Linked DNA regions of Arabidopsis thaliana. The protein of the gene in region 2 binds, or shares a complex with, the protein of the main gene of each other region. Each region holds a gene or a part of one and is shown on either strand. Other genes may lie near its edges.

Region 1 (2,907 bases), on a different chromosome or scaffold from region 2:
TACATGGATGAATGTCTCGCTGACAATGAAAAACGATCCAGAAACTGATAAGGCATTTGGATGGGTGCTGGAAATGTTAGCACAAGAAACAAGAATCTTAAATCATGAATTGGCTCTCCACCTTTTGAATCCCATCATTGTTAACTGACTACTTTATTCTTCTCTTTTCTGTTTGATAAGGTACGGTTACGCAATTGCATCTGCTATACATGGGGTGCGTCACATACTTCGGAAGGATTTCATGCTTCAGGTAAGAATCGACCTTGTGCTGATACCTTAGTGATAACATATTCTATGTCGAAGATACTTTTGTTTTGTCAAAGTTACAAAAGTTGTTTCTCTGCTCCATATTCCTAAGTTCTCTCACAATATCTTTCAGCCTCCGTGGGATTTGTCTACCAAGGGGAAGTTTATCATTCATTACACTTATGGATGCGACTACAACATGAAGGTGATTTTCTGTTTGACACGATTGTTTAATTTTAATTTTTGGCTGATAAATTAGGAACAGATTTCACATCTTGTGGTCATTTGTTTTTACTTAAGGTCATTAGGTTCTCTTTTTAGTCACTACTAAGTTTTGCTGACTGTTAAATACAGGGGGAGCTGACATATGGCAAAATAGGAGAGTGGCGATTCGATAAGAGATCACATTTGCGGGGTCCTCCTCCAAGGAACATGTCCTTGCCGCCTCCCGGTGTTCCCGAAAGTGTGGTATGTTATATATAAACCTCTATAATCTGATCGTGCTTAAAACAAGATACTGCAGTAAGGTCCATTCATAGCTCAAAGGGGAACTTATTTGTATCATGTCCATTGGTTTAGTGGATTCCGGAGACTAAATAGCAACGTCATACACAAATGGTCGTCCATAGTTTGATGTAGTTTGTGAATTTGCAATGGTTTTACTTTCCGGGGAGATGATATGCATAAGTCTGTTAGAAGTAGTTGTAATATCTTCAGGAGTTACGGTTTTGCTTGTGGTCAATCAAGTGTGAGAGTGAGAACCGTAATATTGAATGACTGTCCTTAATAACATATTGTGTGATGGTGCAGGTGACACTTGTGAAGATGGTGAATGAAGCTACTGCGACTATCCCTAATTGGGACACTCTCTAACTCACATCCACACACAAAACACAAACCATAGGGACAAATCCATACAGCAACAATATTTTGCCTAATTTTTTTTTCCTTCTCCCTTTACTTCCCTTCTTGTCTGTTTTTTCTTGTAATGGTTAAATTATGAACTTGAGTAGTAAATTACAAAATTATTTGTTTGACACGAGACGAGACATCTTCCATAATTCCGAGAAAGAAAATAGAATTATTTTGGGTCTAGTTATTTGATTAGTTTACCAATGGATTGCGTTCAGAATTCAGAAGCAGAGACTAAAAGACACAATGCGTTAAATTAGACGGAGTTACTAATTCCGTCTATTAACCCTTTTTTTATCCATAAATTTTATTTTCCATTTAAGAAAAATAAAAAAATAAAATTGCTTAGTGGAGGATTGTGTTGTTGTTCATCTATCTTCTTCCTCCACACAGCTAGAAACAGTCTCCTCATCTTCTGAGCAAAAAAATGGAAGTGGCTCTTCTCTCCTTCTCTTCTTCCTTGTCTCCTCTCTGTCACCAGCGAATCTCAACTCTCACACCCAAAACCTCGAATTCCCCAAATTACCCTCGCCTCCCGGTCATCAGATCCGCGGTGTCTCGTAACAAGAAGGAAGAGACTGTCGAAGCCGTCAAGTCTCACTTGGAGAACTGCCATCTCCTCGCCGCCATCAACTACAAAGGCCTCACCGTCAAGCAGTTTCAAGACCTCCGGAGAACTCTCCCCGACACTACAAAGCTCATCGTCGCCAAGAACACTTTGGTCTTCAAAGCCATTGAAGGCACCAAATGGGAAGCTCTCAAGCCTTGTATGAAAGGCATGAACGCTTGGCTTTTCGTCCAGACCGATGAAATCCCTTCTGCTATCAAACCCTACCGGAGCTTCCAGAAGGAACGCAAGCTTGAAAACAATGACTTTGCCGGCGCTGTCTTCGAAGGTAAGTTCTACGCTCCTGACAATTTCAAAGTCCTCGAGACCATGCCCACTCGTGCTGAGGTCTACGCTAAGATGCTCGGTGCTCTGCAATCTCCGGCTATTAATCTCGTCACTACTTTACAAGCACCAGCAAGAGAGGTTATAATGGTGCTTATGGCTTACATTAAGAAGTTGGAAGATGAGAGTAATGCATAGTTAAGCTTGTACTAATCTTTTGGAGAATGTAATGTACGCAACAAAAGGCAATTCAATTTTTTGTTTATGACTCTCTCAAGCACCAATTGTTATTACAGTGACTGAGTTTTATTGAAATGTTGTTTTTCGGAGTGCTCTCAAGCTATCATAACGGTCTTGTTTAGATGTACTTAGAGAGGATAGATTCAACAACTCCCTGAGCTATGGGGTGATAAGTTTCTCGAGCTTCTGCAAACACCTGTTTTGCCAGCTGCTTCTCTTCTGTTCCACCAGATTGTGCAAGAGCAGTGAAGAGTGGACGCAGGTACTTCATCCTTCCTACCTCTTTTAGTGTTTTCTTCACTTCCCCATGGTACTCTCTGCACTTGGATGTGACTGCAAGTTGCAGAAACGAGACCTTCACTTCATAGTCTTTCGATTCTGCCAGTCTGTACCGCTTGTCCAAGGCCATGACCTGATTCATCAATGAGCAAAGTGGGTGTTAGCCATAGGTTTGAACCTGATCACCAATCCTTCCTTTGTTGACTAGCATTGTCATTAACAAACAAGATAAGATCCTAACTCTTGCAAAGCCAATACACTTTCCACAATCATGAACTCTCCCAAAGCCAAGAGGGTTTTTCCACAATCATTATTCACTAGCCCCACATTAATCCAAG
Region 2 (4,741 bases):
TTTGAGCTTGACTCATTGATGTGTTTGTGTATGTGTTGATGCATTGTGGTTATGTAGGAAGGAAGGTTGGATGAGAATGGACACTTGCAATGTTCGTATCATGGATGGTCATTTGGTGGGTGTGGATCTTGCACTAGGATTCCTCAGGCTGCTACTTCAGGTCCTGAAGCTCGTGCTGTTAAATCCCCGAGAGCTTGTGCTATTAAGTTCCCGACAATGGTGTCTCAAGGTCTTCTCTTTGTGTGGCCTGATGAAAATGGTTGGGATAGAGCCAATTCAATTGAACCCCCTAGGTAACGAAAATGATTATCTTCTCAGGCTTCCATGAACATAGCATACTCGTTTTATTACTCGTTTTATTAAATGCGTTGATCTTTAACATAAAAGGTTGCCGGATGATTTCGATAAACCGGAATTTTCGACGGTGACAATTCAAAGGGATCTTTTCTATGGATATGATACTCTCATGGAAAATGTATCTGATCCTTCCCATATAGATTTTGCTCATCACAAGGTGTTGTTTTCTTTCTCAAAGCTCCCAATGTGTTTGCATTTCCACTAAGGGATATTATCCTCAGGCGATGATTACGTGTTGTAAACAGGTTACAGGAAGAAGAGACAGAGCCAAACCATTGCCGTTCAAGGTGGAGTCAAGTGGGCCTTGGGGTTTCCAAGGTGCGAATGATGACAGTCCAAGGATAACCGCAAAATTTGTTGCTCCGTGCTATTCTATGAACAAGTGAGTGTTGAGTTTGCTCACTATACATAATAAATGGTTAGCATACAGTTGCATAGAATGAAATTGTGTATCCTTGTCTACAGAATTGAGTTAGATGCGAAACTACCAATCGTCGGTAATCAAAAATGGGTCATTTGGATTTGCTCATTCAATATACCAATGGCTCCAGGAAAGACCCGTTCCATCGTTTGCAGCGCCCGTAACTTCTTTCAGTTCTCTGTACCAGGACCAGCTTGGTGGCAGGTAAAACAAACTTTGATTCCATCTCTAATCCGATTTTACTACGTAAATTCTTCTGAAGCTGTTCCTTGTTAGGTTGTACCAAGATGGTATGAACACTGGACTTCGAACTTAGTCTATGACGGAGACATGATCGTACTTCAAGGACAAGAGAAAGTATTCCTCGCTAAATCAATGGAGTCACCAGACTACGACGTGAACAAACAGTACACAAAGCTCACATTCACTCCAACCCAGGCAGACCGTTTTGTTCTAGCATTCAGAAACTGGCTCAGACGGCATGGTAAGAGTCAGCCTGAATGGTTCGGCTCCACCCCGTCTAACCAACCTCTCCCTTCCACTGTCTTAACCAAGCGTCAGGTGAGCCATCAATCATGCATCCTAACATCATTTGATTGATCTCTATATATATACAAACACATGTCTGAAAACGTGACAAATTTGAACAAACAGATGCTAGATAGATTTGATCAGCATACACAAGTATGCTCTTCCTGCAAAGGAGCTTACAACAGTTTCCAAATCCTCAAGAAGTTTCTCGTTGGCGCGACGGTTTTCTGGGCCGCCACGGCTGGTGTTCCTTCTGATGTTCAGATTCGACTGGTTCTTGCTGGTTTATCACTGATATCAGCTGCTTCTGCATATGCTTTACATGAACAAGAGAAGAACTTTGTGTTTAGAGATTATGTACATTCTGAAATCGAGTAGATTTGTTGTGTATATGTATAATCATCATACAAAGTACAAACATTGTAAATCAAAATCCAGAGGAACTTTTAGCACTATAAAACCGATTTAACCGTTAAATTTTGGGTACTCAATTGAACTTTATAAAACTTTTAAGTAAGAAAACAGAAAAGTAGAATAATTACGGGGTCAAATTCGAAACATAAGAAAAACATTCGTCACTTCACTTGAGCAAGCACACGAAAAGCCGATAAGAAGATAACAATTACTACAACTGTGCGCTCTTGTTATCTCTGCTTTGAAGTGAAATCAGCTTTGGCTATGGCTTCTTCGACAGCTTTGTCTCTCTCATGGAGCTCCTCTCCTTGTTGGTCACACAGCTTCAATGGCGGTGCAAATGAAACCCTAAAAGTATCTGAGCGAAGGTTCAATTTTGAAGTTGTTTCCCAGAAGAAAGCTAAGAAACTTCGCAAGGTAAAAGTCATTACCTTTCATGGGTTTCCTTCAAAAATTTGATTTGGCTTTTAGTTAGTTTTTGATTTGAGCTTGTGTTTCTGAAGAATTTTGGTGGAGATGAAAGTAAAAGACTTGAAGATGCTTAATTTATGGGTTTAGTGTAAAAACATCGTCTTTGTTCTTGTATCAGCGTAGTTAGGAAGAAAGATGAATCAACATTAGAAAAGTAGACGCCTTTATATTACCAGTTTAGTTTCAAGTAGTGAAGATAAATTGGTTTGAAGCTTTGTTTCTGTGTAGAGAAATGGAGTAAGTGAAACACTAATGGTAAATCTTGTTTTGTGTCTTTAAGGTAATTTTGAAAGAGGATGTGACGGATTTGGGTAAGCAAGGGCAATTACTTGATGTGAAAGCTGGATTTTTCAGAAACTTCCTCTTGCCTACTGGAAAGGCTCAGCTTATGACTCCACTTCTGCTCAAGTAATTCACCTCAACTTCGAAATTTCCGTTCGCTTTTGTATGCTCTTACTATTCGGTTCTAAGGCCTTTGTATTTCGAGGGACTTTGCTACAATGTTGTAAGATCAACAAGAAAAACATCATTTTCTTTCTTTTTGTGTGTGTGTTTTTCCCCCAGGGAATTGAAGATGGAAGACGAACGGATTGAGGCAGAGAAGCAAAGGGTAATCTGATATGAATACATTGATTGTTTTTATTTGATCATCATGTAAAGTTTTGGTGTTTGAGTGATCACCAAAAAACTCTTTGGTTATTGATTTTCATCTGTTTGTTGGTTTTTTCTTTGCGTGGAACCTTTTTTGCAGGTGAAAGAAGAGGCACAACAACTGGCGATGGTATTCCAAACCGTTGGTGCTTTCAAGGTTAAACGCAAAGGCGGTAAAGGCAAACTGATATTTGGATCGTAAGTCCTACTTAAGCAAATCTAGATTTTAACAGTCTTGAGAATAGTGTTTAGCCTGTACTTAACTTTATATTTTCCTGCAGTGTCACAGCTCAAGACCTCGTCGACATCATCAAATCACAGCTCCAAAAGTAACAACATAGAAAATTTTACATTTCCACATAAAAAGCTACAAGCTTTCTCATGTGGGCGGTTTAGTTGGATCAGTCTACATTTGGTTTTTAGTGTTGTTCGAAGAACCTAATATGGTTTTATCTGCTTCTCTGTGGCTGTGTTTTGCAGGGACATCGACAAACGCCTTGTCTCTCTCCCAGAAATCCGTGAAACCGGAGAATACATAGCCGAACTCAAGCTTCACCCCGATGTCACTGCTCGAGTTAAGATCAATGTTTTCGCTAACTAAACCTTCAACGATTCAAGACTCCTACTGCATCCCAAGGTATTTCTTGATTTTCCATGATCATGTGGCTTTTAACCATAAATGAAACTAAGTATTAGTTTTGTCTTAGTTCGTGTCTTAATTGGCATGAAATAAGTAGTTAAACCGATGTTCTGAACTCTGAACATCGGCATATAAACATTGGTCGGGAATATTGGCTGTTGAACGGAGTTTTGCGTTTTAAGGTCTAGCCGCAAACGCAGATGCTAATTGTCCATCGCACTGTGTTTGGTGTTTTGAACTTGCAGGAACGTATAGAGAGGGAAAAGAGAGTAGCCTCTTGTGGTGAGGATTGAAGGTTGTGAAGTTTTTCCTTTAGATTGTTTGATGCATTTGTATTTTTGCTATTTTTGGAATCTGGAAACGCTAAAAGTATAATATTCTCTTGCAAGTTATGATATTTACTTGAAGTTATATTGTATTCATTTGTCTGTTGAAGTGATGAGAATGCTTAAATTAACACTAACAAGCTGTTTAAAAAACTAACAAATAACCAGAAATCTGAAAAACTATGTCGCCGTCTCTTGTTCCCACAAGATTGACTATTTTTAGAGAGTTGTTGTTTAATGACAAAACCCAGATGTTTTTTTGTTTCACTGCTTCTCTTCAATTCTGTTACCAAAACCTTTTTTGTTTAAGACAGTTATAGCTCTTGATTCGGTTTTTATAATCATATGATTCTCTTGTTTCTATCATCTTTGTTCTTGTTAACAAGTTTTGTCCAATGGAGTTTAATGGTGATAGGATCCCTTACCTGAGAGATACATGGAGAGATGCAAACATGATCTGCGGTATCTTGCCTATTAACCCGAGCTCGAGCGGGCTATGGCCCTCCCCGAAGCTCCCAGATCCTCAAGCAAACATTGAGTTCTGGAATTACATGTTTCCACATGTTCAGATCATTTTCCTTATCGTCACTATTCTCTGGCAATTCTTCCATTTCTTCCTCAGACGTCTCGGCATGATTCGTTTCACCTCCCATATGCTTGTAAGAACTTTACTCAATTCTTGAATCTTCAAATCTCTCTTCCTCTTTGTTTGCATTGCTTATGTTTGATATTCTGTGTGGTTTTGCCAGACTGGGATTCTCTTGAGCAAGTCGTTTCTTAAGGAGAATACACCGGCTAGGAAATTCCTCTCGACGGAAGACTATAAAGAGACTCTGTTTGGTTTAGTGGGTGCATGTTCCTACATGATGTTTTGGTTCTTGATGGGAGTTAAAATGGACTTGAGTTTGATCCGCAGCACCGGGAGAAAAG
Region 3 (4,488 bases), on a different chromosome or scaffold from region 2:
TCACGTTGACTACATCATTGTTTAGCTACACATAGCAAAATAGTGACTAACATGAGACAGAATACAGTCGAGATCATTGCATTCTTGTTTAGTTGGTAACTAATTGCAAGGAATGGATTCATAAGACGAAAACTTCAAAATTCTGTATTGAATGGAAATCGTTTTCCACTCAAGCCAGTTATCTATCAGTCTTTCTGCAAGAAGTGACGGTATATTCATTTGATTATCATCTTCTTGCATTGACAACAAGTAGACAGAGTGAGATCAATAAAACAAAAAGAAGAGAGTTCATTGAAGTGAGCATACCCATTTGAATCCTTCTTTGTCTTGAAAAGAAGCACCTATTATGCTCTCTCCAAGATTGGCAATCTGGGAAGCTAGTACACATACAGCTGCTTCTGGAGGAGTTATCTGTGTTCAAGATATCAAAAGGAAAAGAAGTTTAAAAATCGTGTAATGATAACAGTCTTTAGTAGCATAAAGAAGCTGTGAAGGGAAATTTTGGTAGCAAATAACACTATTACCTGACCCAGGAAGCAGCCAACAGATGCAAGAAAAAATGATGCTAAAAGTCCAGCCAATGTTCCTTCAAGACTCATAGCTCCCTCTGTTCCTCTTGGTACAATCTTAAATGTCGTAGCTAAATACCTGCGAATTGGCAATGGTTAGTAAGATCATTTCAGTTGTCGATTGGATTCATGTCATGACACCACAAGTCCATGCCATACATCAGACAGAAAACAGACACAGACCATAACAGAAGAGGCTATAGCTGGATAACAGTAGCATACTCACGTTGTTTTTCCATAAGCTTTGCCTATCTCGCTCGAGACAGTGTCAGATACTTTAGTGCAGAAACTGGAAACAAAACCAAGCCGGAAAAGCTGGGAAAAAGCTGCTCCTCCCACTTGATATATTGAAAGAAAAGCACAGACACAACCAGCAGCACTTGAACCAATCACACTGCGTGGTCCTCTTCTACCCTTTCTCTTTTCGGCCACACCTTGTGCTTCCTTTTGCGTCATTTTAACCTTCGTTGCCGCTGTTCCCTGTGATATTGTAAATCATCTAAACCAACTTCAGCGCCAGAATCAATTGCAAATTTACTGTTACTATTTCCAGCTCTGGGGTGAAACACGATATTGAAATCTAAAACTTAAAGCATTGCAGAGAAAAGACTAAGTATCTCAATGTTGAGCATGATCAGAAAAAGTAGCTCCTTAATCTGTAAACGTGATTTAGGATCTCTAACACGTCCACAATTCCTAAATTAAACAATAACACATCTAAAATCTAAGGACATTCTTCATTCATCAGCTCGAAATCAAAATCAAAGCAGCGAATTTCTACGTTCTAAGAGTCAGTTACCGAATTACATTCAGGTTGATCACAAATGCACTTACTATGACGAAGTAAGCAGCGACTAAGAGGAAACCAGCAGAGCCATAAGCTCTCCAAGTTAAAGTACCAAGCAAAAACGCGGCGGCGATCCCAGAAGCGGACAATCCGGTAACAAGAAGCGGTGAACCGAGAACAAAAATCAATAAATTGTTAGCCACAGCTGATTTCCAAGTTGGTGACGCCGATTGAATCAGTTTCATCGCCTCCGTCATCACTCCTTCCATCGATGCAGCCGCCGCCGTAGCACCGTCGGCTCTACTTCCCGACGAAAGCATTCCGTTGGAAAGTGGTTCCAGATTACGTCGTCCAAATCTGTAAGATCTAGCGAATGGAGAGGAAGAAGAAAATCCCGAGAATTTTGGGAATCTTAGTGGTAAAGCTGATCTAGAAGAATTTAAGAGTAGAGTTGACGAAATCGTTGCCATGACTTAGCTTGCTTCCGAAGAAGACCTTTCTCTCCTATTGAGAAAAAAAAAACAGTATTTCGGGTTGAATCCGGAGCTCCGAAAAAAACCCGGATCCTTAACCCGTGTTGTGTTTATTTTTCGGTCGTATTCATCAGATTATTTACGGTGTTGCCACTACTACTATTTACTGAGAACCCAATCTTATCCGAGAAATCGGAAAGAGCAGAAGAAATTTGCAGAAGAGAGAAAAACAAAAATGGCGGTTCTTTGCTCGTCTTCGACGGTGATACTCTCTTCTTCTTCCGTGAAATCCTCCGGAAGTGAGAGAAAGTCTCCGTTTTTAGGGTTCTCTTTAACGGCTATCTCGAAGCCGTCGGTACGAGTCGGCATTTATGCGAATTCGAAAAGAGGATTGCAAGTGAAGTGTGAAGCTGAGCCGACGACGACGACTTCTCTTGTTCCGGCGAATCAACGATGGATGTTCGACGAAGAAGAAGCTAATGGCCCTGTAACGATAATTTTTCTATCTCCCTCTGTGTTTAGCATCTACGCATTTATAAAGTGTCGCACTTTAGCTCTTGCTTTGAATTTGAAGTATGGCTTGTTTTTTTCTTCTCCCAATTGCGATTTATTAAGTAGTGGATTTTGCCTTTGACTCATTAGCTGTGTTGTCTGCATCAATTGGCTTCGAAAATTGATGTTTATTCTTCTGAATTTGTTAACTTGGACGTTTTATGAAATTATTAATGTTTGGTTGGAGAGAAGTTAAAAGTCTTTGGCTTGAAACCTTTATTGAGTGTATTCTATGGTTTACAGGACATCTGGAACACGACATGGTATCCAAAAGCTTCAGACCATGTGAACACGGACAAGCCCTGGTTTGTGGTTGATGCAACTGACAAAATTCTTGGTAGATTGGCATCGACAATTGCTAATCACATCCGTGGGAAGAATCTTGCCTCTTACACTCCTAGTGTCGACATGGGAGCTTTTGTGATTGTGGTATGAGTTTCTTTGAGCTATCTGTAGAGAATAAGAAATTTGATGTGCTGCTTTAGTTAATTTCTTCCTGAAGGAGGAGCCTTGGGATTTGGTTTTAGTAAGATTCACATTAGCAGCAAGATGTAGAGCCTCTATGTAGATGTTTGGGCAATGCTTGTAACTTGGTACCTCTAATACTGTTTTCAATTGTTTGGTTAAAGGTGAATGCTGAGAAAGTTGCTGTATCTGGAAAGAAGCGTAACCAAAAGCTGTACAGGAGGCATTCAGGACGACCTGGTGGTATGACAGTAGAGACATTTGATCAATTGCAGCAGAGAATTCCTGAAAGAATCGTTGAGCATGCTGTTCGTGGAATGCTTCCAAAGGGACGGGTTAGATACATAATCCACAGCTCTTTATTAGTCTCCTTTAAGTCTTAACACTTAGCAAATCCGTGTTTCTTCAAACTTATGGATTGAACTTGGAAACTACTTGTTGCGATATTGGTATTGATTGATTACTAGTTTTCCAACTCCCTCTTAACTTTGGTCTGACCATTTTGTGGCAGCTTGGGAGAGCTCTGTTCAATCACCTGAAGGTGTACAAAGGCCCTGACCATCCTCACGAGGCCCAGAAACCGCTTGATCTGCCTATCAGGGACAAGAGAATACAGCTGCAAAAATAGAAGCTCCACCACTGTTCCATTATCGCCAAGCGCAGAGAGTTTTTTCTTCTCAGGTTTCTGTAGTTTCTTCATCCCAAAACCAGAGGAGGCTTTACAGATTCTTGTTTTCGCTTCTATCAACTCTGTTATGCTACAAAACTTTCTAATTTGAAATATTTCTCGTTATTTTTTTTTGCTACTGAATATCTTCTTCAACATGAAAAAGATGACATGTAATGAATACAAATGCCATAAGCAACAGTAGTCACCATTAACAAAAACTTCCTCTTCAATTGGTAACAAACCTTCCCAATGAGATCACAGATGCAAGGAAAATCTAATATTCATGCCTTAATCGAGTCATTACTTAAAACTGAAATTTTTAATGCTGGATCCAAAATTTGAATGTTAAATATACATAATAATAGGAAATACAATTTGAATGTTTGGAATCGCTAACGACTAATGCTAGATCCAAAATCCGGTTAGTATTCATATCATTATGTAAATTTTGCATCCAAATAAATTTAAAAACAAACAAACAAACACAAAAGATTTTTAAAATCCGACAATAAACAAAATCAAAATTTTAAAAACTATTTTTAAAAATCCAAATAAAAATCTTGAATGTTAAATCTACATAATAATATGAAAACAAGTTGAATGTTTGGAATCGCTAACGACTAATGTTGGATCCAAAATCCGGTTAGTATTCATATCATTATGTAAATTTAGCATCCAAAAAAATAATATTAAAACTATTTTAAAAAATGCGAAGTAAAACCTTGAATGTTTAATCTACATAATAATAGGAAAAACAAGTTGAATGTTTGGAATCGCTAACGACTATTGCTGGATCCAAAATCCGGTTAGATTTCATATCATTATATAAATTTAGTATCCATTAAATAATATAATTTTAAAAAATAAACACATGAAAAAAGATTTTTAAAATCCGAATAAACAAAATCTAAATTTTAAAAAGTACTTTAAAAATCCGAATGAAAAACTTGAATGCTAAATCTACATAATAAT
Region 4 (3,514 bases), on a different chromosome or scaffold from region 2:
CATGGAAACGCTGCGTTTAATGATGATCATGTCTTCAAGCTTGACGAGGATTTTTAGATTTTGCTTACTTGCTTTATTTTTAGTTTTGTAATTTTCAGTATAATGAAAAACAGATGAAGTTTAATTTGATAATGGACATTTAATTTCTTAATTATTTAACATAGTTTTTACATGGTTAACATATAACTAATCCGGATCCTAGTAATTACATGGGTCTACCCAAATCCAAAAAGGATTGGAGCCAATGACTTTGCTATATATTTCGTTCTTAAGAACATTGCTAGGTTTCTAGCTATATTGGTTTTGCCTCTTTATTGGCAGAGGGAGCACAAAGAGAATCCTCCCCTTTCGACATAAAAATGTTATTTTCTCATGGTCTTTTGGATGATTAGCAAGACTTACTCTTAAGTTTTTGCATAAGTATCTTACATCACTTTCTAACTCAACCTTCGAAATATGCATTTGTTTCAAACAATCCAGTGTTCATTTCCAAGTAGGTGTAGTGACTTATGATAAGAAAGCATGTCGATTATGGTAAAAATATTTTAGTGGCTGTTCACAATAATTCTATGAGAGAGAATCATTAGTAGGCAAATTGAATAGGAAACAGACATGATATCAAATTCTTTTGAAGGCAGAAAGAAATGAAAATATAGAAAACATAACTAAAAGAGAATAAACAACCAATTACCATTTACCGTTCCAAAGACCTTCATCGTCGAATTTCAAGAACAATGAAGGTCTTTGAAAGATACTTTTGTCAATAAATATGAAAACCATAAACAATTAGTAGAGATGAGAGATCACTATAACTCTCCTATGACTTTCCATCCAATCAAAAAGAAAAGTTTGTGTCCATGTCTCTATAACTCTATCCAACTTCTTTAAGATAAGATCATTTTCTCGCTTATTACACCAAGTATACAGCGGACCATGGGATGATAGGTCTCAAACAAAGCAATAGTTTACCACTGATTGAAAGTCTCTCATTCCATTGGTATAATAGGGTTGTCTTCAGCTCTAGAATGCTCCACAAGTTCTAAAATCTCATTAAAATCTCCAAACATTATTTAAGGCTTGCTACTAATGACAGGAGAGTCATAGTGATCTCTCATCTTGTTCATAATACTTTTTTCTCCTCTAACCAACTAGACAGTCTATGAAACTCAAATAATATAATTTTTAATTTTCGGTCAAAACTGTAAAAACATGTCAAAATCAAATAATATTTTTTTTTTGCCAAATCAGAAAATTACATTTTTCCGCCAATGTAAAAATAATTTTTAGAGTGACATTGTCAGTATAAATCCTAATTTATGTTTTAATATTATAGCTAAAGTCTATAATTATTTTTGGCTGCTTCTTGCATATTATTATTCTAAGTTTGGTTTTTGTTTTTATCTGAGAAATTTCTACTATATAATGAATATTTGAAACTGTAGTCTATATATTTAGATTTAATATTTTATACAACAAGTTGATATGGCCGAGTTGGTCTAAGGCGCCAGATTAAGGTTCTGGTCCGAAAGGGCGTGGGTTCAAATCCCACTGTCAACATTCACTTTTTTCTCTTTTTCCATTATTTACTTGCTGACGTGTACTCACCTTATCTTACATTATTTGATGACGTGTAATTTTAGTGGTCACTAATCGAGAGAGTGAGACGAAACGATAAGGAGAAGAACTTCTTCTTCAACCTCAGAAAACCCTAATTTCTCCATTTCGAAACTCCAACGAATTCTCTGGTGATTTTACCAATGGCGATGGCAACATCGATGAGTTTGAATCTAATTGGGGCATTCAAAGGCTTGTCTCTTTCTTCGACTTCGTCTTTTCTTAGAGGCGATTTGAGTTTTTCCCCCAAAACCTCTTTCACGGTGACTCTTCCTCTGGAAAATCTTCAAGCTCCGATTCCGTTGACAATTGAATCGGCCCATAAGAAAGGAGCTGGTAGCACCAAGAACGGTCGTGATTCTCCTGGGCAACGACTCGGCGTCAAGATCTACGGTGACCAAGTTGCTAAACCTGGTGCTATCATTGTTCGTCAACGTGGCACTAAGGTAACACTTAAGAACACAGAATTGTTGAAATTGAGAACCTCTTAAGCTCCTCTTTCAATTCTCTTCTAATTTCACCGCAACTCTGTCAATTTGGTCAGTTTCTTATGGGTTTAGCTCTCAAGCTCTGTTTTCAGATTCCATTCTCGAACACATCTGGGTTTAGGATGAATTTTCGTATTTAGTAGCTCTTGTTTCTGATGCCATTGCCATTTCTCTGGAAGTTCTACGTTATGTTTGTGTTTAGGATGGAACTATATTGTTTGAGAAGATTGATTCATGAATGGTGATGTTTGGTGCAGTTCCATGCTGGGAAAAATGTTGGGATTGGTAAAGATCATACCATCTTCTCTTTAATCGATGGATTAGTCAAGTTCGAGAAGTTTGGTCCTGACAGGAAGAAGGTATACCTGTAGTTATACTGAGTAAGGTTTATAAGCTTTCTTAATCTTCTAGGATGTTAAAGGAAATGAGACTTGTTTTTGCAGATAAGTGTGTATCCAAGAGAAATTGTACCAGAGAATCCCAATAGCTACAGAGCAAGAAAGAGAGAAAACTTCAGATTGCAAAGGGAGAAGAAGAAGGCGAGACGCGAGAATTACTCGTACACACTTCCTACACCAGAACTTGTTCTTGCATCTGCCTCAGTCGATGATGCTGAAGCCAATCCGGAGTGCTAGAAGATTGAATGTGGAGTTTCCTTGTCTCTTTTTGTTTAGTCTTGTTTATGAAAAATGATCCTTTCAGAGTATTAAGAGTTGGTTGTATTGTCGAATCCAAGCCTCTCTTTTGTCAAATTGAGTCCCAAGCAGGCGGATTTTTACCCAACTTGAGTTATTAGTGTAATCAAATGGTTATTGTTAATTAGTCAAAGCCTCAAAGGTTTTAATTTAGTGAATTTCTCTTCCAACTTAGTAATTCTGAATCATTGATAAGAGAGACCACCAAACCTTTGAATGCCCCAATTAGATTTAGTCAAGTATAAATCTAGTTCAAGTGTCTATTTGAGGTTTTTTTATTATAAAAATTATAAAACTTATTTGGATCCCAAAAATGGATCCATTGTTAGTCTAAGAAGCCGAAGACTTTATGGGCCTTCTAGCGAAATAATGGGTTTTAGCCCAATTACTTAGCATTTCGGAATATGTAGATAGTGGTACAAAAAAGAAATTGAATAATATTCATTTTCGTCTATCATTGCATAATTAGTGGAATGAAATTATTATTCTATGTTTTTTTTTTTTCATTTATCTATATCTTGCTCATCTTGAATCCATCAATTTCGCTAACGTTTTACCTGTACCATATTAGATCCTTTGTGTTATCTTTAGGCCATATTTCACCAGCTTGAGGTCAAATACTTATACACATGTATGTAACGATATATATATGTAAGATGACGATATATTATTGAATAACACTAAAGGCCTAGAGCAAAAATAGTAATTGATGAGAAG

What was found.
Region 1: RPL9 (region 2) and EMB3136 share a complex: the UniProt entries of both Arabidopsis thaliana proteins name them as parts of the 50S ribosomal subunit.
Region 3: RPL9 (region 2) and emb1473 share a complex: the UniProt entries of both Arabidopsis thaliana proteins name them as parts of the 50S ribosomal subunit.
Region 4: RPL9 (region 2) and RPL27 share a complex: the UniProt entries of both Arabidopsis thaliana proteins name them as parts of the 50S ribosomal subunit.

Annotation. Positions count from the first base shown.
Region 1 is NC_003076.8:4,339,709-4,342,615, forward strand, and holds EMB3136 (Ribosomal protein L10 family protein), read left to right. Parts: upstream 1-1,553; 5' UTR 1,554-1,585; coding exon 1,586-2,248; 3' UTR 2,249-2,387; downstream 2,388-2,907. Other genes in the region: AT5G13500 (Hyp O-arabinosyltransferase-like protein), read left to right, coding at 1-75, 181-250, 380-451, 601-714, 1,057-1,119; AT5G13520 (peptidase M1 family protein), read right to left, coding at 2,409-2,702. UniProt on the Arabidopsis thaliana protein: This protein binds directly to 23S ribosomal RNA.
Region 2 is NC_003074.8:16,384,518-16,389,258, forward strand, and holds RPL9 (ribosomal protein L9), read left to right. Parts: upstream 1-1,877; 5' UTR 1,878-1,987; coding exon 1,988-2,140; intron 2,141-2,474; coding exon 2,475-2,602; intron 2,603-2,758; coding exon 2,759-2,804; intron 2,805-2,945; coding exon 2,946-3,043; intron 3,044-3,126; coding exon 3,127-3,174; intron 3,175-3,325; coding exon 3,326-3,446; 3' UTR 3,447-3,482; intron 3,483-3,730; 3' UTR 3,731-4,206; downstream 4,207-4,741. Other genes in the region: ACD1 (Pheophorbide a oxygenase family protein with Rieske 2Fe-2S domain-containing protein), read left to right, coding at 58-293, 388-514, 603-739, 823-982, 1,055-1,339, 1,433-1,687; CHX4 (cation/H+ exchanger 4), read left to right, coding at 4,207-4,470, 4,561-4,741. UniProt on the Arabidopsis thaliana protein: Binds to the 23S rRNA.
Region 3 is NC_003070.9:29,573,933-29,578,420, forward strand, and holds emb1473 (Ribosomal protein L13 family protein), read left to right. Parts: upstream 1-1,873; 5' UTR 1,874-2,064; coding exon 2,065-2,316; intron 2,317-2,624; coding exon 2,625-2,810; intron 2,811-3,010; coding exon 3,011-3,181; intron 3,182-3,357; coding exon 3,358-3,474; 3' UTR 3,475-3,948; downstream 3,949-4,488. Other genes in the region: AT1G78620 (integral membrane protein (Protein of unknown function DUF92, transmembrane)), read right to left, coding at 1-25, 307-411, 525-648, 796-1,049, 1,377-1,826.
Region 4 is NC_003076.8:16,409,109-16,412,622, forward strand, and holds RPL27 (ribosomal protein large subunit 27), read left to right. Parts: upstream 1-1,673; 5' UTR 1,674-1,757; coding exon 1,758-2,060; intron 2,061-2,359; coding exon 2,360-2,461; intron 2,462-2,545; coding exon 2,546-2,737; 3' UTR 2,738-3,006; downstream 3,007-3,514.